Linked DNA regions of Arabidopsis thaliana. The main gene of each other region encodes a partner of the protein of the gene in region 2 in a complex. Each region holds a gene or a part of one and is shown on either strand. Other genes may lie near its edges. The genes, in order: mtACP2, AT3G12260 and EMB1467. A codon is read from its position in the direction of its gene.

Evidence for each region.
Region 1: the proteins of AT3G12260 (region 2) and mtACP2 are in contact, whole or in part, in a cryo-EM structure (PDB 8BEE), measured with the Arabidopsis thaliana proteins. Residues at the interface, in NP_566416.1 of Arabidopsis thaliana: Phe27 (codon at 3,408), Asp28 (codon at 3,405), Phe30 (codon at 3,399), Arg31 (codon at 3,396), Cys34 (codon at 3,387), Arg35 (codon at 3,384), Arg56 (codon at 3,321), Tyr57 (codon at 3,318), Ser60 (codon at 3,309), Ile63 (codon at 3,300), Arg64 (codon at 3,297); in NP_176708.1 of Arabidopsis thaliana: Phe61 (codon at 3,611), Gln62 (codon at 3,608), Asp82 (codon at 2,650), Ser83 (codon at 2,647), Leu84 (codon at 2,644), Asp85 (codon at 2,641), Val87 (codon at 2,635), Glu88 (codon at 2,632), Met91 (codon at 2,623), Ala92 (codon at 2,620), Glu94 (codon at 2,614), Glu95 (codon at 2,611), Glu100 (codon at 2,596), Ile101 (codon at 2,593), Asp103 (codon at 2,587).
Region 3: the proteins of AT3G12260 (region 2) and EMB1467 are in contact, whole or in part, in a cryo-EM structure (PDB 8BED), measured with the Arabidopsis thaliana proteins. Residues at the interface, in NP_566416.1 of Arabidopsis thaliana: Lys120 (codon at 2,445), Thr121 (codon at 2,442), Phe123 (codon at 2,436), Leu124 (codon at 2,433), Phe127 (codon at 2,424), Tyr128 (codon at 2,421), Thr129 (codon at 2,418), Ser130 (codon at 2,415), Asn131 (codon at 2,412), Tyr132 (codon at 2,409), Phe133 (codon at 2,406); in NP_568550.1 of Arabidopsis thaliana: Trp361 (codon at 5,505), Arg362 (codon at 5,508), Leu365 (codon at 5,517), Ser621 (codon at 6,630), Pro645 (codon at 6,702), Thr646 (codon at 6,705), Ala650 (codon at 6,717), Arg651 (codon at 6,720), Asp652 (codon at 6,723), Trp654 (codon at 6,729), Lys655 (codon at 6,732), Ile656 (codon at 6,735), Arg658 (codon at 6,741), Ala659 (codon at 6,744), Glu662 (codon at 6,753), Val663 (codon at 6,756), Asn671 (codon at 6,780).

What each region holds. Positions count from the first base shown.
Region 1 is NC_003070.9:24,246,576-24,254,158, forward strand, and holds mtACP2 (mitochondrial acyl carrier protein 2), read right to left. Parts: upstream 3,862-7,583; 5' UTR 3,792-3,861; coding exon 3,588-3,791; intron 2,690-3,587; coding exon 2,513-2,689; 3' UTR 2,152-2,512; downstream 1-2,151. Other genes in the region: AT1G65280 (DNAJ heat shock N-terminal domain-containing protein), read left to right, coding at 1-97, 202-290, 423-534, 694-747, 836-884, 975-1,075, 1,164-1,279, 1,583-1,946; AT1G65295 (ubiquitin carboxyl-terminal hydrolase), read left to right, coding at 4,992-5,075, 5,216-5,479. UniProt on the Arabidopsis thaliana protein: Carrier of the growing fatty acid chain in fatty acid biosynthesis. May be involved in the synthesis of short and medium chain fatty acids.
Region 2 is NC_003074.8:3,906,852-3,914,236, forward strand, and holds AT3G12260 (LYR family of Fe/S cluster biogenesis protein), read right to left. Parts: upstream 3,625-7,385; 5' UTR 3,487-3,624; coding exon 3,268-3,486; exon of another isoform or gene 2,584-3,267; coding exon 2,401-2,583; 3' UTR 2,089-2,400; downstream 1-2,088. Other genes in the region: TGA6 (TGACG motif-binding factor 6), read left to right, coding at 117-194, 528-579, 869-1,140, 1,215-1,460, 1,586-1,732; PRMT3 (protein arginine methyltransferase 3), read left to right, coding at 3,791-4,108, 4,189-4,656, 4,772-4,869, 5,102-5,180, 5,265-5,504, 5,592-5,759, 5,837-6,271; RBR1 (retinoblastoma-related 1), read right to left, coding at 6,820-6,994, 7,077-7,192, 7,301-7,385. UniProt on the Arabidopsis thaliana protein: Accessory subunit of the mitochondrial membrane respiratory chain NADH dehydrogenase (Complex I), that is believed to be not involved in catalysis. Complex I functions in the transfer of electrons from NADH to the respiratory chain.
Region 3 is NC_003076.8:14,893,346-14,902,335, forward strand, and holds EMB1467 (NADH-ubiquinone dehydrogenase), read left to right. Parts: upstream 1-4,064; 5' UTR 4,065-4,144; coding exon 4,145-4,565; intron 4,566-4,670; coding exon 4,671-4,917; intron 4,918-5,013; coding exon 5,014-5,308; intron 5,309-5,387; coding exon 5,388-5,762; intron 5,763-6,107; coding exon 6,108-7,003; coding exon of another isoform or gene 7,004-7,007; exon of another isoform or gene 7,008-7,089; coding exon 7,090-7,102; 3' UTR 7,103-7,302; downstream 7,303-8,990. Other genes in the region: GORK (gated outwardly-rectifying K+ channel), read right to left, coding at 1,351-1,538.

The DNA.
Region 1 (7,583 bases), on a different chromosome or scaffold from region 2:
TGAGCTAGAAGAAGATTCAGAATATTTCATTGGACCTGCTCCACCAGCTGTTGTTGCAGAAGTTGCATCGTCGAACGAGGCAGAGCGATTTGAAGAGGTTCTTAGTTTTCCTTCTGGCATTATCAATACAGTTCTTTCTTTTACAAAGTTTATGGATAGTGTATTCGCTAGAGTACCAACTCATACTTCTTGCATTAACAGGTGACACGGATTATGGAAGCTGACGCTAATAGTCCATACGACGTCTTAGGAGTGAATCACAATATGGCTGCTGATAATATGAAGAAAAGGTATGGACTCTGTTACACTTTTTGGAATCAAGAAAAATGATTATTAGTCACTAAATAACTGCGCTCAATCATTTTACACAAGTTTAAGTTATCAGTTACATAATTGATGATATAGACAATTCTGGTCTGTAGGTACTGGAAGCTGTCGCTTCTTGTTCACCCAGACAAATGTTCTCATCCCCAAGCCCAGGAAGCTTTTGTTTTACTGAATAAAGCTTTCAAAGAATTACAAGATCCAGAAAAGGTGAGATAAGAATCATCTACTGTCTGATTATTTTTCAATATGCTCTTAGAGACTTACTGAATCATGTGGCCATCCATCATCTCTTTATGTGTATTCACTTAATACCATCTCTTATATATTGCCCTTTTTATTATATCTCTAATGTATTAATGTCTACAGAGAAAAGCAATGGATGACAAGATTAAACTTAAGGAGGAACAAGAGGCATTTAAGGTTTGTAATTCTGCCGGATTGATCTATGTAATCTTTCAGGATAAATATGTTGGTTTTACTTACATAGACATGGTGTATTTCCCTACAGGTTGAATTACGTTCAATGCAAGAAGCAGCACAGTGGAGAAGATCACAAGGTGAAGATGAATCATTGTGGCATGCAGGCTCCTTAATCTCTTTGCCTCTTAGGGATGAAAATCTAATGAAGATTTTTTTCCGTTTTGCAGGCATATCAATGGAAGGGGATGCAGAGTTGTTGGCAGCAACCGAGGTTAAACCTGAACCTAAAAGAGATGAGTGGATGACCACTCTGCCTCCTGAAAGAAAGGTGAGAGATCCACAATTGATTGAAAACGCTTTTGAATTATTGGATAGTGTTTAACTTTTAAATCTTATTTGGGGTTCTTCTTTCGCAGGTTGGAGTGGCCGTGCAGCAATCAACCACGTTTAGTAGAAATGCTAGAGAAGGACGCGGAGACACTACAGCGTGGACTGATACTCCTATGGACAAAGCTGAAAGAGCAAAGATGAAGTAAGAACACACTAATTAACTACATTTCACGATGTTGTTTGGTCATGAAAGCAAAACACATTGGTTCTTTTTGAAGAAGTTCAGCTGCTCAAACCTAAGTTCTAGGTCTACTATAATTAGCCTAGGACTGAATACATCAATCGTAGCTGTTGTGAGTTGTTAGATAGCCATTAGTTAGGGTTGGATTTATAGGGCTGTCTCTGCAGATTGTTGAAGGGCGGAGTAGATATTCAAGGTTTTGGTCATTTGGTTGAAGTTTCATAGCGTTGTTCTTATATTTGTTCTTTCCGCTGTTCTTATCAGTTACTTGGAGGCATACAACAAGGCGAGTGCGCTTGCATCAAACGAAGGGGAAAATATGAAAAGAAGCATGGATGCTGAGCTTGTAGACAAGTATAACAAAGAGAAAAGAGCAAAGTCTCTGGTAGAGAAGCACAGAGAAGACTCTTCTTCTTCTTCAAGCCGTCTGAAAAAGAAGAAGAAATTGTCTTCATCCAAAGAGAAAACCGAGAAGGACGAGTGGGTAGGGAAACATCCGTGGAAGCCATGGGACCGTGAAAACGACCTTACTGCCGGGAGACAGAATGTGAAACTTGATGCCGATGGTATGGCTGAAGGTTTGGCTTCCAAGTTTTCTTCTGGGAATTTCCAAAGAAGCTTCCTTTAGAGCTTGTTGAAGGAAACTTGTTTTGACGATAAATGTATCCAATTCCAAATATTTTTGGAACTTTATACCCAAAAAGAGTATTTCTTACCAAATCTTGTTTTTTCTTTTGCTACTGTAGTCTTTTTTTTTCACATGCATACTAAGTTAAACAAGATTCGACACTTTATGTATGTTCTGTGGTAGATTATAAAATGAGTATATGTTGAATAGTTATTAACTCTATGTATGTTCCATTTATTTGAACGCTAAATTAGCAAATGGATTTTTTTTTTTTAAATGAAAGACGAGCCAGGGACACTTGAAGGATTGTTTAATAATGCAAGGAGTGTCTGATGCGTTTAATAAGATAAAATCAAGAGAAAACAAAGTTCTTTGAAAGGCCTCGTAATTCATGCAGAAACACATCTAATACTTATGAAACCAGAGTAGTAGAGCCAACACAAAAGCTTATCCATTCTCATGACAAAAAGAAAATGTTGTTTGCTTCTTTACTTCTTATTAGGCTTTAACAAAATCTGTAGACACAGCTGAGGCACGCATGAACACCGAAGAATTTGTTTCTCTTTTCACTTAGCCTGAGGATGAGAAGCAATAAAGTCAACGGCTAGATCGATGGACTGGATCTTGTCTGCTTCATTATCAGGGATCTCAAACCCAAATTCCTCCTCCAATGCCATCACAACTTCCACACTGTCCAAACTGTCCAACCCTAGATCATTTTGGAAATTGGCTTTTGGTGTTACCTGCCACCAGAGTACAAATGTATTAGTACAGAGTTCAAGCCTAGTAGAAAGCAATGAAATTGGAGCCTGAGACTTCCAATATAGATAACAACTGATTAGTTCAGATAGTCAGATGAAGTCTCCAAGTTATTATTTAGTGTTTCGTTGCTGATCAAGAGGGCTAAGAAGCACTACATGAACACTCAAACACAAAGCCTACAGTAAATGCACAAATAATCACTCGGCTAAACTTCTCAAAAAGCTTTCAAGATACAAGAATGATAACTTCTTTTCTACATGATGCTGAAGGGATCTTGAAAATCTCAACCTAATCAAAGATAAGCTATCAGTAGAACCACATCAGTCAAATGCACTTTTCATTAGCTAGAAACACCCGAACATGGCATCGAGAAAACAAGAATTCACAGAAATATAAGAGAACAAGGAGCGAATGTTTATTATCGCTTAACAATAATACATAGGACTCACTAATAGTTTCCAACCCTTCGAGGAAAATATGCATTGCTACTAGACGTAAATAAGAAATGGACAAATCTCCTTAAGCCACAAAAGAAGACATCAACACAAGTATGAACAAAAGTTTCCAAATTGTTGTAATGTAGATACTCAAATGTACATATACAATTCTCAAGACGATAAAACTTTCTCCTTTGTTCTTGCAAGTGAAAAATAAAACGATGCAGAATCCTAAGTTCTCTCTACTCAAGGTTAGTAAATAATAACGAATAATTGCTGAGTGATAGACTTCAATGAATACTAAATCCAGCTACAAATCAAAGCTTTTAATCATCTTTCATTTCTAGATAACAAGTAAACACCAGAAATCACCACGGATCACACAATTTCATCGTAATACAATCGAAAATGAAGAAATGGGTCGGATCGAAGAAGAATTTACCTTAGAAGGATCAACTTTTTGGAAGTTTTTGACGACAGAGAGAACTCGATCTGTGACCTCAGATTTGTCAAGGAAAGAGCCTCTAACTTCCTCGGAGAAACGACGAAGGAGAATGGAGAAAGGAAGTACACATTCTCTAGGGTTTTGAATTGTTGGATTGACGTTGACTCTCAGGTATCGAAGCATAGCACCTCTCGCCGCCATTGCTGTGTATTGCAGAGTAAGAGAAAAACCTAGCAAGCTCTTTCTCTTTGCTCTCGAAGGAGAGATTTCCTTACTTTGAGATACGCAAAACGACGTCGTTACATTTGTAAAGTGGGCCTATCTGAGCCCTCTAACGCTTGGGCTTTGTCAAGAATTTTATCTAGTAGTATCAGTTTCACAAGTCCCGTTTAATCCGTTTGACTTGGCATTCTTCAAATTTGTGCTTTCAGAATCTAGCTCCCAACCAATTGAAGGTTTCAAATTTTAATTTAGTACTATTAAGCAATTTTGAGATTTCCTTGTTATCTTCTTCAAAGCAAACGTTTTTTTTATCTCTTACACCATCAACTTTACATAGTATTATTAATGAGAGTTGCAAGTAGATTTACTTTTGCTTGTCTTGCACCTAAAGATATATACCTTGATCTTCTTTGTATTAAGTTTATTAATAGAATATATGAAAATCTTTTTGATTTACTAATTACGGTAATAGTATTCTCGTAATTTTTCTTCCGGTATATATTGGATATTGAAGATTACTACTTTACAAAGATTTCAGATTTGTGGACAATTTCAAAACCACGTTTTGGCAACGCATTTTCTAGATTATTCCTTTAGATATTGTGAGATGACTCATTTATTTTATTTGTTATCAGATTTCAGTACCAGAGATATGAACTCAAAGAAATTTACTGAAACTATGAACTCAAAGACTATATACTACATGTACGACACACTTTTAAATTCTTGTCATTGACCAAATAAGCTCTTATGTATGGGTTATAAATTTTGCTGCCTGGTATCTTCTCCACTTCACTATTCTAAATGCTAATTGAAAAAAACACTCAACGTTATTGAAATTATATTTGTCACCAAAAGAATCAGATCCTTCGAAAAGAAGAAGAAGAATCTGTTTTATTACAATTGGTATGGTTTTCTCTATCAGTTGATTCGATATTGGTGTGGTAATGAAGTGGAGAAATTAAAGAATAGTAAAATTAAAGACCCCACTTATTATTTCTTCCCTCAATAAAAAAAACAAAAACATTTCTCTACAAAAATCATAAATGTTATAACCAAAATAATTGAAAAAAGTAGCTCGAGAGAGAAGTAGCATTTGCTACTTTACCCAAAATCCCTAACCACATAATAAACCAAACCCAACAAAGAAAATAAAATTTCAAACCAAAAAAAAAAAAAATGAGAACTTTAGAAGAATCGAAGATCTCTATTGTCTTCTTGTTGCTTCTTCTCTTCTCAATCTTCATCAGTTCCAGTCACCAGGTTAGTTTCTTTACTTAGATCCCTCTAAAGTTCTCTTCTTTCACATCTGGGTATTTCTAATTTTGTTAAAAATCAAACCTTTAACATAACCTGAATTCAAAGTTTTGAGCTTTATGGGTTTTGATTGGAATTTTGTTTAGGCAAATGAGGTATTACCAGCTGAAGGAGATAATGAGATGATGATGGTGCCATTGGGGGAGGAGAAGTTTATGGTAATGAATGAAACAAGAAGGAAACTTGGAAGTTTTCAGATATGTTCAGTTTGTACTTGTTGTGGTGGTGCTAAAGGTCTTTGCTTGCCTTCTCCTTGTTGCTATGCTATTAACTGCAATATCCCTAATAGACCCTTTGGTTACTGTTCTTTCACTCCCAAAACTTGCAATTGCTTTGGTTGCCATATCTGAGATCTTCTACTTCATTGTAATTTGTAAGTTTCTTATTCTTCTCTGTTCTTAGTTTCTGCTCAGTTCATGTTTTGATGTTTGGTTATGAATGTTTTGATTCCAGGGGAGAGAAACAAGTGAATCTAAATCTTGATTCATCTTCAAGTGTGAAAGGGAGGAAAAAAAGAAGAATATCTGTTCTTGGTTTGAGTCTTCTACTTATTTTTTGTCTATAATTTATTTTTCAGTCTTCATTAAATTTCATTACCTACTATCTCAGCAACATCATCATCCTCATTAATTAATTGTCTTTTTGCATTTGCCATTTTTTCATAATTTTCTAGGGTTTTTTTTGTTTTGAGAATCTTGTTCACACTTCAAGCAAGATTTGTTTCTTCTTCTCTGTTCAATCAATTCTCTCTATCTGTCTTTCTCTCTCTCTTTTTTTTTTTTTTTCATTCTCTTGTTTACTTCATCATTTTGTTTCTTATGTGTTTTAAGAAAGTTAAAAGTTAGAATTTAGCATATTTTGGAAAAGAGTCATTGTTTGGTTAAGCTGGCAATTGGAAGAGTATTTAATATGATGATGATGATGGTATTGATGGTGATGGTGGTGATAGTGAAGCTGTTAAAGTTAAGTCTTTGTAATGAGTGACATGTTAAGAAAATGGATCAAGTTTAGTGCCTTATTCTGATCTGATAAGATCTTTAAGTGTTTTAGTTTAAAATAGAGGAAAAAGAGTAAAAAAGCAATTATTCATCTTCAAGTGCAGAGACTAGACAATATCTTTGAATATGTTTATTTATCTGACACTGTTATTATTGTAAGAGATGTTTTATGTCAAATGTTTGTTCCAACTCTCTCTATTGCGTTAGCGTAAGTAACCTGCAAGATCTGTAAATTAATTACTAATTGTTATTTATTATTCACACATGGGACATCATAAAGTTGTCTTGGTGATAAATTTAGTCAATATGTGTGTGTGGGTTAAGAGTGTTGACTATACCAGTTTCCCCGTGATTGATTGGCTTTTATTAAATCGGACAATTTGCATTTATATTCACAGGTCATGTTTATTAAACTCTACATTGCTGTCTAATGTCTATAGTACACCAAGTCTATTGGTGATTGAAATGTCGGAGAACGGTATAGTTTTTCTGTTCTTACAATAAAAAGGTAGATTAAGAACACTGATTAACTCAATGTAACCCATACACTTACACGTCGGGTCAATCTTGAGCGGTGATCTTTTGGGTTTACCTCTAACCCCGGACTGGTTAAACACTTTTCTCACCTCACCACATCAAAGCCATAATCAGGGCCCAAATTTGAGTGCCTACAGCAAAAAGATTTTGGCCCAATAACAAAAAACTGTTTTTTAAAACAATTACAAAATTTTCGTCTAAATTAGATTCAAAACTGTATAGTAAAATGTTTGGGACTAACCACTAAACTACAGTCACATTTTTGAAAATGATGACTCTAAAACAAGTTATAATTATTTGCTGCGTAATACCCTTGCTTCATGGGATTACGTGGAGAAGAAGAGTAAGTATCAATCAATTTATTGCTAGAGATTTGCAAAAGGGGGAATCCGTGTGCAGAGGTGTCTAGATGAAGCCATGAGTCTACAGCGGAGTTTGAATTTGCGGTGGATGAGTTACGGTGGAGATGACATTTTCCAAACATTACAAGCCTTAACACGTGTACCTACTGAGATTTTGATAGAACTTGAAATTGTTTCCCAAATAAACCTCTTATTCGGAAGTTAGGTTTTGGACTCAAAATGGATGGGATGCATCATGAGGTATGAGATATGTTTCCCAATGTAGTCTCCGGCGATGAGATTCTTTATCACCATTTTTATTTAACGTTAATACTTAAATCTTTGTAAGACAGAAAAAGAATAAGATGTTAGTCAAGATTAGAATAACGAGACCTAATTTGTGAAATTTTCCGTAGCTTTTTGTGGATAATAGTTTGTTTAGTAAAACTGATCCGAATTAATGTGAACTCGTAAGACTCCTCCATCTCAATGGAGCGGCTAATTAGAACAACTACTAAATTGTGACAAATCTAAGGTTGTCTCACATAATTCAAGAGTTTAAAATATGGTATAGTCTT
Region 2 (7,385 bases):
ATTTTGCTTTTGTTCTTGTTTTGATTTTTCTTATATATTCCTCTTATTTCCTTGTAATATCTCTAGAAGAATATCTATCTGTCATTACCTTAAGCATGTTATTGTTTCCTCCATAGGCGTATGTTCAGCAGCTGGAGAATAGTCGATTAAAGCTGACTCAACTTGAGCAGGAGCTGCAAAGAGCAAGACAGCAGGTTTATTAACTTTCTTATTTGTTTTGATTCTGATATGTATGTCTTTATAAAGAAGATAAAAGGCTGAAGCTACTTCAACTTATAACTAACAGTCAGTTACGAGTTAGTACTAGTCTTGGGTTAGCTGAAGTAGAGGAGGTAACAGAATTATGGGTCATCCATAGTTTAGTTGGGTAAAAGTAGCTGGTAACTCTCTCGAAATAGGTCCTTCTGGTCTGTTTATTCGGATGTTGATGGCATACAGAGAATTTCTATTCTGGTTCTTATCAGATTCTTTGTCATGACTCATGACAGTGTATTTGTCACTTAAGGATATATATTTTTCAATTTTAGGGAGTTTTCATCTCAAGTTCAGGAGACCAAGCTCATTCTACTGGTGGCAATGGTGGGTTGTTTCTTCTCTGTTAGTTTTGAGATTGATCCTTTTGATTTGAAATTTCTATGTGAGATAAGTGCATATATACATATATGTTGATGAATTGGTGATAGCATAAGTCATCTCATGGCAATATGCTTACACTTGTTAGAGTTAATGGTTTCAAGAGTCAGTGATGATCTGGATGGGAAATTAAAGTCATGGTGATGTCAAAACTGAAGTTTCTTATAGTTTGCGCTGGTGTTAGCTTAGGTCTGCAAGGGTTTGTTCTTGATCTAGTATACTTGCCTTTCTGCAGGGGCTTTGGCATTTGATGCAGAACACTCACGATGGCTTGAAGAAAAGAACAGGCAAATGAACGAGCTGAGATCTGCCCTGAATGCTCATGCAGGTGATACTGAGCTCCGGATAATTGTGGATGGAGTGATGGCTCACTATGAGGAGCTTTTCAGGATTAAGAGCAATGCAGCTAAGAATGATGTCTTCCACTTGTTATCTGGAATGTGGAAAACACCAGCTGAGCGATGTTTCTTGTGGCTTGGCGGGTTCCGCTCATCCGAACTTCTCAAGGTAAGCTCTTTCCAAGTCCATAGAGAGATTTTGATGAACAGCCAACTTAATGAGTCGCAGTGTTTTCACAACAGCTTCTTGCGAATCAGCTAGAGCCCATGACAGAACGACAGGTAATGGGCATCAATAGCTTGCAGCAGACGTCGCAGCAGGCAGAAGATGCTTTATCTCAAGGGATGGAGAGTTTACAGCAATCCCTAGCTGATACTTTATCCAGTGGAACTCTTGGTTCCAGTTCATCGGATAATGTCGCGAGCTACATGGGTCAGATGGCCATGGCAATGGGGCAGTTAGGCACCCTCGAAGGATTCATACGCCAGGTACTTTAGAAATGTGGATGTTATCGAGATATACCATATCTTTTCATCGTCACAAAGAGATAAATATTTTATTTTATATATGAATCCGTCTGTTATGGAGTTCATAGGGCATTTCTTGGTGGCAGGCTGATAACTTGAGGCTGCAAACACTACAACAGATGCTTCGAGTATTAACAACACGTCAGTCAGCTCGTGCTCTTCTTGCTATACACGATTATTCATCTCGATTACGTGCTCTTAGTTCCTTGTGGCTTGCCCGGCCAAGAGAGTGAAACAGAAGAATAGTGCTCTACTCAGCAGTCAGCCCTATACATAATCTTATGACTCAGATCGGCAGGGATACTCCTTCCAAGAGATCGATCACAAAGCAAGGCATTCTCAGATTCTTACCAAAAGCAATATTTTGGGAAAGAAGACTGCAGGTTTTGAAATTGGTTTCCTGAGGTCCGCAAGACTCGAGTGTTGTGTGTGTTGTAATTTTTAGCCATCAGGTTGCATAGTTTTATAGAGTGAATGTTTATAGGTCTTTGAATATTCAAAGCGGATAGGTGATCAGTGTAAGGTCGCAATTACCAACATGACAGAAGATGGGATCCTTTCAGGAACTTGGATTGTATGATCATAAACTCCAGCAGACCAAATCAATTTATATTGAGAGTTCAAAAAAGAGAGCAGATTGTGTATCTTGAAATCATAGCAAGATTGCCCAGTAAACACTGTCACACATAAAGCTTACAGAGGTTTGGCTAATACTATGTATAACCAACCTGAGTCAGAGAAAATACTCATACAAATGAAAAGATCTAATTATTTCCAGGAAGAAGACTTCTTCCAAATGTCGAGAATACAATACTGGCAAGACATATGCAAACTTGAGCAAGAACTGAAGCAGCATAAACAGTACAGCTTATGTGAAACTCGAAAAGTAAACATCACCAGTTCAAAAGTAGTTGCTGGTGTAGAAATTCTTGAGAAAATCAGTCTTTCCTTGATCCTTGTTTCCAGTATTCTGCACGAGCCCTTCACCCACCACATATTGACCGATGATGTGGTGACGCTGCTTTGCGTGATCCACAATGTCAGTCAGCTCTTCCATTCCTTTGAATATAAGAAGATCAATTACCTGCAGAAGCAAGACCACCATCAGATTGCATTCTAAAATCACCTTAAAAGAGAACCAATCCGAGATCACTACACCCACACTCAAGGAGATGCTTTGAATTGATGGTTCAAAATACAAACAACTAACCATTCACCACATAAGCAAATCTTAACTTTGGTACCAAATGCCAACAATGCTGTCATACTACGAGAAAGAACACCATTTTGATATGAAGTATATAATTTTGTAGCAGGTTTACTGTATCGACGACAACAGACTCATCTATGAAAGAAAACAAATGCAAAGAAGAAAGGAACACAGCTTTAGCAGGATGTAACCGGTAAAGCTCCCACCTTTTCGCTCCAAGTAAATCTTCACCAAGCACCCAATTCACAAGACACTTTTTTGTTCATAAGATAAGACTACCAAGAAATTAAAAGTCTCCGCTCACATAAACTACTTGCACAAATTCTACACGATAGAAGGTGTAAGCTTTCAGCTTTCAACAACACTCAAACAAAGCTGACAATAAATCCAAGCCAAAAGTGGAATAGAAAGCAGATACGATCAGATTAACAAATATAAAACAGCTCATTGTTTGGTAGCCAACCAAGACGCATTAGCCAAACAAGGAAAATGCTTTCAATTTCGCCATCGCATAGGACCTGGGTCCGTATTAATCAGAGTTAAATTAAGGGAAAGTACCTTAGGATCGGTGATGTGAGCGTTATTCCGAATCTGAGCAGAGATAGCATAGCGGAGCTGAGAAGGAGCGACGACATCTTGAAGATTGTAAATGTCCATGATGGTGGGGATAGATCTACAGGCAGCTCTAAAGAAATCGAAAACACGGCGGCGAGCTTCCGTCAGGTTCGCCGAGTTCGGAGGAACACCGATTTTCCTCAACGCGAATGGTGCCGCCATTTTGATCTACGAAATCGAAAAATTTCACCTTCCTGCCTGAGATTAAAAGAGAAATGAGTAGCCGAATAGAGAAACAAACATCTGACTATCTGATTGCTTCCAGAGTTATCTGACGACGTCGTTTCGAAGTGAGTGGCTAATGGGCTTTTTATGGGCCTAAGCTGATGTAGAGAATAGCCGTAATTATTTCCGGTTAGTTTCGGTTTACAAAAAAGGGTAAGAAGGTAATTGTTTTTCTATCCCGCCGGGGTGTCTCCGCTTTCTTAAACCTCTCTCTTAAGAACTTGGCGCCGTTATCTTTCTCATGGCGGCGACAATGGTGAAGCACGAGATTCTCAACTACAGCGAGGATGAAGAAGAAAATTACTCAGACGAAGGAGATTGGGGAGACTGGAAAGCTGATGATAATGGTATAGAAGGAGGAGAGGAGGAGGAGGAGGATGATGGTGACGACTCGGAATCTGATTTTCTGTGTTTGTTTTGTGATTCTCACTTCGTTTCCTGTGATTTACTCTTCGAACACTGTCGTCTAAGCCACGGATTCGACTTTCATGGAGTTAGAAAGGAATTGAAGCTCGATTTCTACTCTTCTTTTAAGCTCATCAACTATATTCGCTCACAGGTTTGTGTTTTTGCTTCCTTCGTTTTTGGTTTCTCTAATTTTATTGTTTTTGTTTAAATTTGGTTCCTTTAATGAATTAGGTGGCTGAGAACATGTGTTTCAGTTGGAAGATTGAAGCTGATGATTACAAAGATGTTAAGTTTCCTTGGGATGAAGAGAAGTATCTGAAGCCTTTTTGGCAGGAGGATTCACTTTTGTACTCGTTTGCAGATGATGAGGAAGATGAAGAAGTCACGTTTGACAGAGAGGAAGTGATGGAGGAATTGCAGAAGCTTGGGGATTTAAGCATTGATGTCGAGGCTTTAGGGGAAAGCTCAATGTCGAACAGTGATAAATGCAATATAAATGGAAGTAAGGATGTAACTTCGCTCTCAAACTGCAATGGCCTAAAGCAAAGTTCTGCGGATGATTTGATAGTCAATGGGAAAGATGCAGAACCAAAGGTTTGTGATGGAAGGCTAGTTAATAGGAACATCAGAAAGGTGAATGAGAACTATTTTGGATCTTATAGTTCGTTTGGCATTCACAGGGAGATGCTAAGTGATAAGGTAATGCACTAATCTTTTCTGGAATTGTGTCATAATTAACTAACCTGCACTTGCACCATATGAAGAAAGACTATCAGCTGTCAGGTTTATTCAATGTGTCTGATGTCTGTAACAGGTTAGAACAGAAGCATACCGAGATGCACTTTTGAAGAATCCTACTCTCTTGAATGGCTCTGTTGTAATGGATGTTGGTTGTGGAACTGGGATATTGAGGTGAGTTTGCAGTTATCTTTCTCACTCTATATTGGCCATCTCATTTAGGTTTCTTCTCATTCTCTAAACGAAGCTTTAAACATGTGGTTCTATTTGCTTCTTTTATTTCATATTCTGAAGGCTTCCTTGAATTTCTCTTGCCTATATGCAGATCCTTTGATTGTTTAAGTCAAACTTTTGGTACTTCTTATTTTTAGTTTGCATGCAATAACCATTTATCCTTTGTCTGCAGTCTTTTTGCTGCTAAAGCTGGGGCTTCAAGGGTAGTTGCAGTTGAAGCTAGTGAGAAGATGGCCAAAGTTGCAACTAAGGTTACCTTTTTTTCTACTTGTTACAAGATTTTCATTATTTCTTTTTTCCTCATAGATATCAATTATTTACCTGGTTTCTAGCAGATTGCGAAGGATAACAAAGTATTCAATGATAACGAGCATAATGGGGTACTTGAAGTTGCACACTCAATGGTAGAAGAGCTAGATAAATCGATACAGATTCAGCCTCATAGTGTTGATGTGTTAGTCAGCGAATGGATGGGATACTGCCTTTTATATGAGTCAATGCTCAGTTCTGTGCTCTATGCAAGAGATCGGTGGTTGAAACCTGGAGGTGCAATCCTCCCTGACACGGCCACTATGGTAAAGCTTATCTTTTGCCCTTCAAATGTTGTCTTTTTCATGAAATCATCTTGATGAGTTTTATCCCTTGTTTTCTCCTTGGATCAGTTTGTTGCGGGATTTGGAAAAGGTGCAACAAGTCTTCCTTTCTGGGAAGATGTCTATGGCTTTGACATGTCTTCAATTGGGAAGGAGATACATGACGACACTACTCGACTTCCCATTGTTGACGTTATAGCGGAGCGTGATTTAGTGACACAGCCTACCCTTCTTCAGGTTTGAAAGATCACACATTATTTGGTTTCGCCAGGAAAAACTTTGAAATTAATTTCCTTGAATTTCTTTGTTTCTAGACATTTGACCTGGCTACCATGAAACCGGATGAAGTAGATTTCACAGCAACGGCAACGCTGGAGCCCACTGAGTCAGAAGCAAAAACTAGGTTGTGCCATGGTGTTGTGTTGTGGTTTGACACAGGTTTCACCAGTAGGTTCTGTAAGGAAAACCCAACCGTACTATCCACATCACCCTACACTCCCCCAACACACTGGGCTCAGACAATCTTAACTTTTCAAGAACCAATCTCAGTGGCACCGGCCTCGGTTCTGTCTGGTAATGACAGAAGAGAAGCCATCGGAACCGAAGAGTGTCCCGCCTCAAGCATTCATCTGCGTGTGAGTGTTGCACGAGCACATGAGCATCGCAGCATAGACATCTCGTTAGAGGCTACTGGGCTGAGCTCAAAGGGTCAGAAGCGTCACTGGCCGGTTCAGATATTTAATCTATGAATGTGATTGTAGCCATTGTAACACTCTTTTCTGGCAAATTTGCTGAGGATTTTTTCATAAGTTGCAAGGTTGTTTTAAATTTAACCTATTGAGAAAGTTTTGAGAAATATGCTGGAGTAGTAAGTTATTCTGAAATCGACATAAAGTGTTGTTTTGCGGCGTAAATTTATAGAGAGCTAAAAAGGTAAGACAGACAATTGTTCAGACAATTTGTTGGTTATAGTTAATTGCTTAACTGTACTGTATATGTTCCAAGTTAAGTAAATGTCACAAATTGTTTTTTTTTAAAGTGGAAAATAAATTTAGTAGATGGGACACCGAACACAGTTAGAAAGAGTGAACAAGAAAAAGACATTTATTAATGCTTATTAAGACTGACTTAACTAAGATAAAAAAAGAAAAAAGAAACAATAAAGGGATCCATCCGCTCATAGCCTGAGGTGATCACTATAAACTAGAAAGCTAAACATAAAAGCAAACTCTGCAACATAAGGATTTACAGATGCTATAACTGAAGAGAAGTTGGTGTAGCAAGTAGAGAGAGATATCTATGAATCTGTTGGCTCGGTTTTAAGGGGTGCGGCACCACCTGAGGACGATGCATCGCTTCCATTTTGGTTTTGATTTTGGTTTTGGAGGTTAAGGCTATTTGCTACCATGGAATCGCTGACCATCCCTGCTTCTGCGTCAAAGTTTAGCGTCCTCTTGCGGTTGCTGCTGCTGCTGTGACACCAGATGAAATTGGATTGGGTCAGTGATTGGTTTTATGGAAGAAGCTGATGAGAGACGTGATTTTTCTACTTACTTGTTCAAGCGGTTGTTGATGGCAGATAGGTCCTTTGAAGGGCTCTGGTAAGCATGTGTACTCTCTCCAACACAAGCATAGTAACTCTTTGTACTGTGTGAAATAAGAGCATCCATCTGCAAACACACAACACATGGAAGGTAACCAAACAATCTTGTCACCTACCTCCTCCTCAAGACTTAGTCATATCATGATAAAGAGTTAAGCACTATGATCTTCTTTACCTTTGATCCCCGAAGAGGAGAAACATAAACATTGTGCACTGCAGATACTTTTTTAGGGGACATGTCTGGAACACTTGGAAACACA
Region 3 (8,990 bases), on a different chromosome or scaffold from region 2:
CAGGTCTAATCAAAGATTCTTGAAAATGTAAAGATTGTGGCTTATACTTGATTCGTCAAATTGGTAATGTAGCTAAACGGAATCGTGGGAAGGAGACAAATGAAAATAATACTATAGTTATTAGTTAAGTGCAAGCAACAACGTTTTAAATTTTATTTGTTTAAGATCGACATAGCTGGACTAAGTTGAATATACATTTTCACTAGTATAGTTTTGTTATTTTATAGTTAATGTTATTATGCTTAGAAGAACAGGTGGATGAAATATCCACGTGTGGCCTCTGGTTACGGCAGCTTTAGTGGAACCAATTAATAATCCGATCTTCGATGATTCTGTCACAACGCATAATTACTAATATAACCCTAGTGAAACATTTATGGGAGTGTAACAGTATCCTCTAGTGGATTCAAGTTGTTTAACGTAGTATTTTTTTTTTTATTCCTGGTGCAATTTAACGTAGGATTCTATTTAAAGATAGATTTAAAGTTTTTCCTTGTTTTGGTCGGAATTTGGTTTTAGATTTAAGTTTTAAATTTTCAATAGGTCGGCTGCAAATAAAACAAATGCTTAGATTGAGGTGATCAGTGGACAACGAAAGAGAAGAAATATATCACAAGGAAGTGTCCCACCAATTTCTTTTTTCTTAGTAAATAATAATGAAAAGAATATCGACAACAAAATCACCTGATTAGCATCTAATATCTACTTTTGATAAGTGATGAAGATTATTCATCTAAATCCTAAGGCTATTAATGGATGATACGAATTAAGCGATTAGACCATTTTATTTTTAGAGCGAACAATAAATTCTGTAGACCAAATTCACTTTTACGTAAAAAAGATATATCGTTAGTCCATTGTAGACGGATTCTATTTTTATTATTTTGTATTACTATAAATTATACTTTATGAACGGTAAATAAAAAGCAATCCAAACTGTAAACGGATTTGTCCATTCTAATTATCGTAATTTTTCGAACCTTAAATCATTTAGTTGTTTTAAAAAATCCTTGACATAAATATTAATATTTAAACTAGATTGAAGTGATACTAATATTAGATTAGATTGGTGACACAGCCTTAAAAATGAGCAGAAAGAAATAACGATAAGAGTTTTAGTGATTGATAATTATTAAAATGGTGAATTTTCTATTATTGTATTATTCGAAGTTAAAACTAGGGAGACAAGTTTTTGAAGTGGTATGGTGAATAAAGTTTTTTTCTGAAGTTACAGAAAAAAAAACAGAAGATATTTTGAAGGTTTCAAGAAAAGTATTTTCTACGTATTTATCTCCCGATAGAAAGGAAACTCTTCAAGTGCATGATGAAGAAAGAGAAAAAAGAAAGAACCTGTTTTTGGGATGAATGATGTATTTATAATCATTATGACCATCGGTTTCAATTCTCCGATGCTCTGATGAATCAAGCCACCGAAACGTCTCGGCTAAACTGAGTTTTCCTCTTCTTGATGAAACGTCGTCGTTTGATTCCTCTTCTTCATGATCTATTATCTCTTGCCGTCTCCGGAGACGTCCCATGTTTTCAAGAATCGGTTAAATGAAATCTCCGGCGATCTCTTCGACACAAAGATCTAGAAAAACAGAGTTTAATACCCGATTCAACTCTTGAATCTGACACTCGAAACTTCGTCTTTTTGGTAGAAGATAGATCTTGTAATGTTTTACAAGTTGAAGAGAAAAGGCGGGAAGATCACGAGAGCTGCTTCTCTGTTTTTTTCCAAATTATTTTTTGTTTGGTCTTCTTTAGTTCTTCTTTCTCGTGATGTTAAAGCTATATTGATTTTGTTTCTGTCGAGAAACTACTGTTTTTTTTTTGTTTGGTTTGGACTCTTTATTAGTTGAAGTGTATAACGTAAGGTTTTGTCTAGAAGGACCGAATTTATATAGGACATCAGAACATGTCGATTGTCGAACATATATCATTGTTTTTTTAATATAAAAAATCTCATCTAAATTAAAATTTGGAATTGAATTGTACGAACGGCTAATAAAAATTTACCAAAAGATTACGATGCTCCAAATCTGGATGATGATTCCCTAAACCGGTTTTTGTGAATCATTTCTAGCATAATCGAATTTAAGTTAATCTGGACTAGTGTACTTGAACATTCACGGGGTAAGTGGGGGAGTTATTTTTTTTTAAGACAATAAATCTGTTGTAAATTGATGTACTAGTTATAGACATTAATGGGTGTGTAACAGCATTTCCTATATGTTTAACGTAGGATTTCTGTTTAAAGTAAAATCAAAATTTACATCAGGTTTTGAGATTTTTAGTTTTAAATTTTCCAAATGGTCGGCTTTGTATAAAACCAAGAGAAGAAATTAAATATACACGAATATGAGGACGTGTCCAGAAAAAGAAGAATATCGACAATAAAAATCACCTAATTTGCATCTAAATATTGACTTTCATAGTACGCTAGAGATAATCAGTTCATCTTCACCTTATTCTTTGCATTGTGTAAAAGAGAGATTATGCAGAGTTTCCTAGTTGACGAGAATGAGATAGCAGAGATATTTCTTGTTTTCGTTTTGCACTTTAGAGGTACTACCTTATCGAGTTGTATGAATATGATTGTCTTGCTTCTATTTTTTTTTTTCATTTTTGGCTTTGATTGAATAAAGGTGAGAATTTTTATTTATTTTTCGCAAAGTATTTCCTTAAAATATTAGTATTTCGGTTTAGATTAGAACAAATACGAGACGATAAATAGTTTGATAACAAAAAGCTATATATGTTGTGTTTCATATCTTATCAACTCGGTCACATCCTCTTTCCATTGGATGCAATTCTTTTTCATAGAAGAACCACTAATTCTTTTTTTTCTTTTGCCATTAACCCAACAATTTTTATTGTAGTTAGTGGTTCTCCCTTATGTTTCTTTGCCTTGGAATGTAATCACTCTGTTTTGACAAAAAAAAAAAAAGAAGGAATGTAATCACCCTGTTTGACAAAAAAAAAGAAAGGAATGTAATCACTCTGTTTGACAAAAAAAAACAAGAGAGGAATGTAATCACTCTTAAAGTGATCTATAACAATTTGAAAAAGTGTCATATTTATTAGCTATAACTTATAACTTTATAAGTTTTGAATGGATGCAGTGGACAAAGCGGTATACTTTGTATGCGGTTTAATCTACCTTATTTTGAGGCGGACAATAAACCGCTGTGGACCAAGTTTATTTATATGTAAAAATAGTTCGTGGATGATTCACAGATGATCTGTTGCGGTTTTCTTCTTTTTTTTTTGTCCGGACCACTGTGCACTATAATTGATTAATGGTAAATAAAAAACAGTCTGATCCGTTGATGGTTTTGTCCGCCCGAACCGCCGTAACCATTCAAACCCATAATTAAAATTATAACGAATTACTATGTAAATTTATAACTAAAACTATCAAATTAAACGAGTTAAATTATACTTATCATGTCTGCCTGTAATGATAAGATAATATATATCAAAGCTTATGAAACTTCATTTTTTTTTTTTTTTGGTTGTCATTGCAAAGGTTAGATTAATAACAATATCACTGATAATGATGCTTACACGTAAACCTAAACAAACGAGGAAAATAAACTAACTCTTACACGTAAACCTTAACCGATGCAGCATAGGTGTTGACAATATTTTCTTTCCTTTTATTTAAATAGACGACGTTGAGATGTTTAAAATTGTCATCATTTATAACCATATTTTAAGTTGTCTTTATCTGAAATATACAAATGTTCAATTAGTACATTGACCTAAAAGTCTCTAGGACTAATGATTGATTAGAGGTTTATTTTGCTAGAGGTTCTAATATGTTGTATGGAACTAGAAGCAAGATTGTTTTAAACTCAATGTCATTAAGTGAATTAGAGAAAGATCATCAAAACTCTTAAACTATATCTCCCAAAATTAACTTAATTCAGTTTGAAAAGAAAAAGCCCACAAAGCCCAAAACTCACTCATTCATAAGCCAATTATAATATCCAAAATAAAAGCCCATAAAGCCCAAAACTCACTCATTCGTGTCTCCTTCTCTCTCGCACAAATGCTTCAGGAGTTCTCACAACAAGATCGAGAAATACACACATAGAAGACGAAGAAGAAGAAGAAGACGATACAGATCCACAACGCCATGGGTTTAGGCATCTTAGCTTCTCGAACAATTCGACCAGCTTCACGTCTTCTTCAATCTCAAACCTCCAATTTCTTCCTCCGCACAATCGTCTCAAAACCAGAGCTCCAATCTCCTGAATCCGCTGCTGTCTCTGAGCCTGAGCCGCCGACACAGATTCTCCCTCCTAGAAACCCTGTAGGTGGAGCACGCGTCCACTTCTCGAATCCTGAAGATGCGATCGAGGTCTTTGTCGATGGTTACGCGGTCAAAGTCCCTAAAGGATTCACTGTTCTTCAGGCTTGTGAGGTCGCTGGAGTTGATATCCCGAGGTTTTGTTATCATTCTCGTTTATCTATTGCTGGAAATTGCAGGATGTGTCTTGTTGAGGTTGAGAAATCTCCTAAGCCTGTAGCTTCATGTGCCATGCCTGCGCTTCCTGGTTAGTTCGATTCCAGGAAAATTTCTATGCTGATGGATTGATTTTGATCGTTGATTGGTGGAATATATTTGGATTTGGTGCTATTGCTAAGAGTTTTTGTAACAGGGATGAAGATTAAGACTGATACACCGATAGCTAAGAAGGCGAGGGAGGGAGTGATGGAGTTTTTGTTGATGAATCACCCTTTGGATTGTCCTATTTGTGACCAAGGAGGAGAGTGTGATCTTCAGGATCAGTCTATGGCTTTTGGATCTGATAGAGGACGTTTTACTGAGATGAAAAGATCTGTTGTTGATAAGAATCTTGGTCCTCTTGTGAAGACTGTTATGACTCGGTGTATCCAGTGTACAAGGTTACTAATATAGTTTGCTTATAGTGTGATGTTTTAGTTAATGTGATAGATACGCTATCCTGTTGATTAGGTTTTGTATGTATAATGTTTTTGTAGGTGTGTACGATTTGCTTCTGAAGTTGCTGGGGTTCAGGATCTTGGTATACTAGGTCGTGGTAGTGGAGAGGAAATTGGAACTTATGTTGAAAAGCTTATGACCAGTGAACTCTCTGGAAATGTTATTGATATCTGTCCTGTTGGAGCCTTGACCTCAAAGCCTTTTGCCTTTAAAGCCAGAAACTGGGAGTTGAAAGCAACAGAAACTATTGATGTTAGTGATGCTGTTGGGTCCAACATCCGTGTTGATAGTAGAGGACCAGAAGTAATGCGTATCATTCCACGCCTGAATGAGGTATGTAATGCTTTTGTTCAAAAACACTATTTTTAAAAGTATTTTGCTGGATGTTGAACTTGTGAATGTTCTTATTCAGGATATAAACGAAGAATGGATATCTGACAAAACCCGATTCTGTTATGACGGCCTGAAAAGACAAAGGCTGAGCGACCCTATGATCCGAGATTCCGATGGACGATTCAAGGCAGTGAGCTGGCGTGATGCCTTGGCTGTTGTGGGTGATATCATTCATCAGGTGAAGCCAGATGAGATTGTTGGAGTAGCAGGTCAGCTATCTGATGCGGAATCCATGATGGTACTGAAGGACTTCGTTAACAGAATGGGCTCAGACAATGTATGGTGTGAAGGAACAGCTGCTGGTGTTGATGCTGATCTTAGATACAGTTATCTGATGAACACTAGCATCAGTGGACTTGAAAACGCCGATCTCTTCCTTCTCATCGGTACCCAGGTGAGATTTCCACCCTGTCTTTTTTGTATGGTTTCTGGTACCGGATTAGACAGACCGCTCTGTATTTGGAACAATGACATAAGAAAAACCAAATTGTGTAGTTTGATACTTTGATTTAGTGGTGTGGCTTAAGGTTCTGTGCATAATTTGGAATACAGAGGCAAATAGAAAGGAGAAACAAGCAAAATTAAGTTTCTAAAAAACAGATCAGATGTTAACATTTCGCTTGTATTGAATATTCCTGATCCAGACCAATCTAGATCAAGCAAAACTTGCTCTTCCAGATATCAAAGTTGTGAAGGTTTTTTAGCAGTACATTCACCAGTTTTTGTCTATTTTTACCAGCCTAGGGTGGAAGCTGCAATGGTGAATGCTAGGATCTGCAAGACAGTCCGTGCATCAAATGCCAAGGTTGGATATGTTGGTCCACCTGCAGAGTTCAATTACGACTGCAAACACCTCGGGACTGGGCCTGATACTCTCAAGGAAATTGCTGAGGGACGGCATCCATTCTGTACGGCTCTCAAGAACGCCAAAAACCCTGCAATCATTGTTGGTGCTGGGCTCTTCAACAGAACTGATAAAAATGCTATCCTCTCTTCTGTGGAGTCCATTGCACAAGCCAACAATGTTGTCCGACCAGACTGGAACGGTCTCAACTTTCTCCTTCAGTATGCTGCCCAAGCGGCTGCTCTTGATCTTGGTCTCATTCAACAGTCCGCCAAAGCCCTCGAGTCTGCAAAATTCGTCTACTTGATGGGAGCAGACGATGTAAATGTTGACAAGATTCCTAAAGACGCCTTTGTGGTTTACCAAGGACACCATGGAGACAAAGCGGTTTACCGTGCAAACGTAATTCTCCCTGCATCGGCCTTCACTGAGAAAGAAGGAACCTATGAAAATACTGAAGGATTTACCCAACAGACTGTTCCAGCTGTTCCAACAGTTGGTGATGCAAGAGATGACTGGAAGATTGTGAGAGCCTTATCCGAGGTCTCGGGTGTGAAGCTTCCATACAACTCAATCGAAGGTGTTAGATCAAGAATAAAGAGCGTTGCACCAAATCTAGTCCACACAGATGAGCGAGAGCCAGCTGCTTTTGGGCCTTCATTGAAGCCTGAGTGCAAGGAGGCAATGAGCACAACACCGTTCCAAACCGTGGTTGAGAACTTTTACATGACAAACTCGATCACAAGAGCATCAAAGATCATGGCGCAGTGCAGTGCCGTGCTCTTGAAAAAGTGAGAGCTTTAACTTGGGTTTTCACATTTTCTCTCTTTTCGCAAAAATAAAGATACTGATTCTTCGTTTGCTGTCCTCTTTATAGACCTTTTGTTTAAGCCTGAGTATCACTGTATCTCGGGTTTAGCTTGCGGTGAAATCTATAAGCAATTTGCAATAAGCACATTGTTAGATTCAAAACTTTGCAGTGTTAATTGGATGCTTTGTGGCATCTTGTATTGTTCTTATTAGGACTCCCTTTTACATTTGCATATATGAATTTGGAGGCATGGCGATATATACAATCTCTACTTTTATCGTTTGTTCTTAACCATTGTGATTGTTACAAATAATGCAAATCTTGAAAGGATTAGATGGTTTCCAATGTGAGATGATCACTTGTGAACTAAACTGTTTTTGACAAGTTATGTTACCTAAAATCATTTCAGTTTCAACTTTGTGATTGGTCATAAAGAAAATTTCAGATAGATTATGAAAGACAATCACAAGTAACATATAAATTTATTTTAGAAAAACTTACCTAAACCAATCAATTTTTTTTTATAGCTGGGATAATTAATCCATCCAACTTTTTTTATCTTTCTCAAACAACCAACTTTTTATTATCAAATTGCTTTCTTACTGATTAGGTCTTATATCTAAAAGTATAATATAAGCAAAAAAATTATTTAATTTAATTAATTTTAAATAACCTGTTTTTTTTTTTTTTTGAACTTCAACACATTGTTTATTGGTTAAAATCCATGCTAAATGGATAAGATTTTTTTGATACATGTCCAAATCTTGTTGACCAATAACACATGTAAAAAACATTTTGTTAGTTTTTTTTGGGTAAGAATAATTAGTATATGTAAATATTCTTTTAATTAGTTTTTATTTTCTGTAAAAGAAAACAAAAAAATAAAACAGTTGTTGATATCTAATCGAGAAAGTTACCCGTGTCGCAATCATGTGAGTTACTAATTTTGAAAACCAAAGTTTATATAATAAAATAATTATACCAAGTTAAGTTCATAAGTTAGTAATCTAGATTTACACATTTTTATACAGATACACAATACATGTAATAACAATAATCATGTACCATAACACTTAATAAAAAAATGAGTTAATTATATAGTTCAAATTTTATGAAAAAGAAATCATGTGTATCTAGAAAATATTAATGTTATTTATATTTCTCTTTATCTCATTTATTTTGATATTATTATATAAATCTCTCTTTACTCTTTGATTGCCACTCCAACCTTATTTCTTAGAGAATATGAAATTAAGTTTTCCAGGAAAGTTGTTCTTCTTGTTAGGTTATATCCTATGTTTCAGCGATATATCGAGTTTCAATAATCATTTTGTGGATGCAGAAACATTGCAAAATTTCACCTCATTTGAAATGGAAGAACAACTTAAAGTCATCGACGAACATGCAGCTAAAATCATCAAAGTCCGTTTAATTTCATCTTATTTTCTTAGAGCTGCACTCGTTACCTTGATTTATACATATATATATATATATATATATATCTGAATTTTGTAGAGATATGTGAAGTTTACAAAATATTTTATAATCTACTTTTTGTTTATGGATGATAGACTACACATGGAGATACATATGAATGTGTGGATTTTTACAAACAACCAGCGTTTGACGATCAGACCATGAAAAATCACTTGCTCAACTACAAAGTATATAATAAATTGAATATAAGTGAATCTGATCATTATTTATCACTAATACAAAATTCTTTGTAAATGTAGATGCATCAGATATCATCCCGTAAAAATTCAAGAACAAGAAAAATAAATGACAAAAAATTTGGTTTCTTGTGGGAAAATGGTGTAGGGTGTCCCATTGGTACCATACCCATACAAAGAGTCACCAAAGACAAACTTTTGAGATTAAATTCGTATTCCAACAAATCTAAGCCCCAAGGTTCTTGGAACTTCACTTATAATCAATATAATGTCGAACATCATGTAAGTAGTACC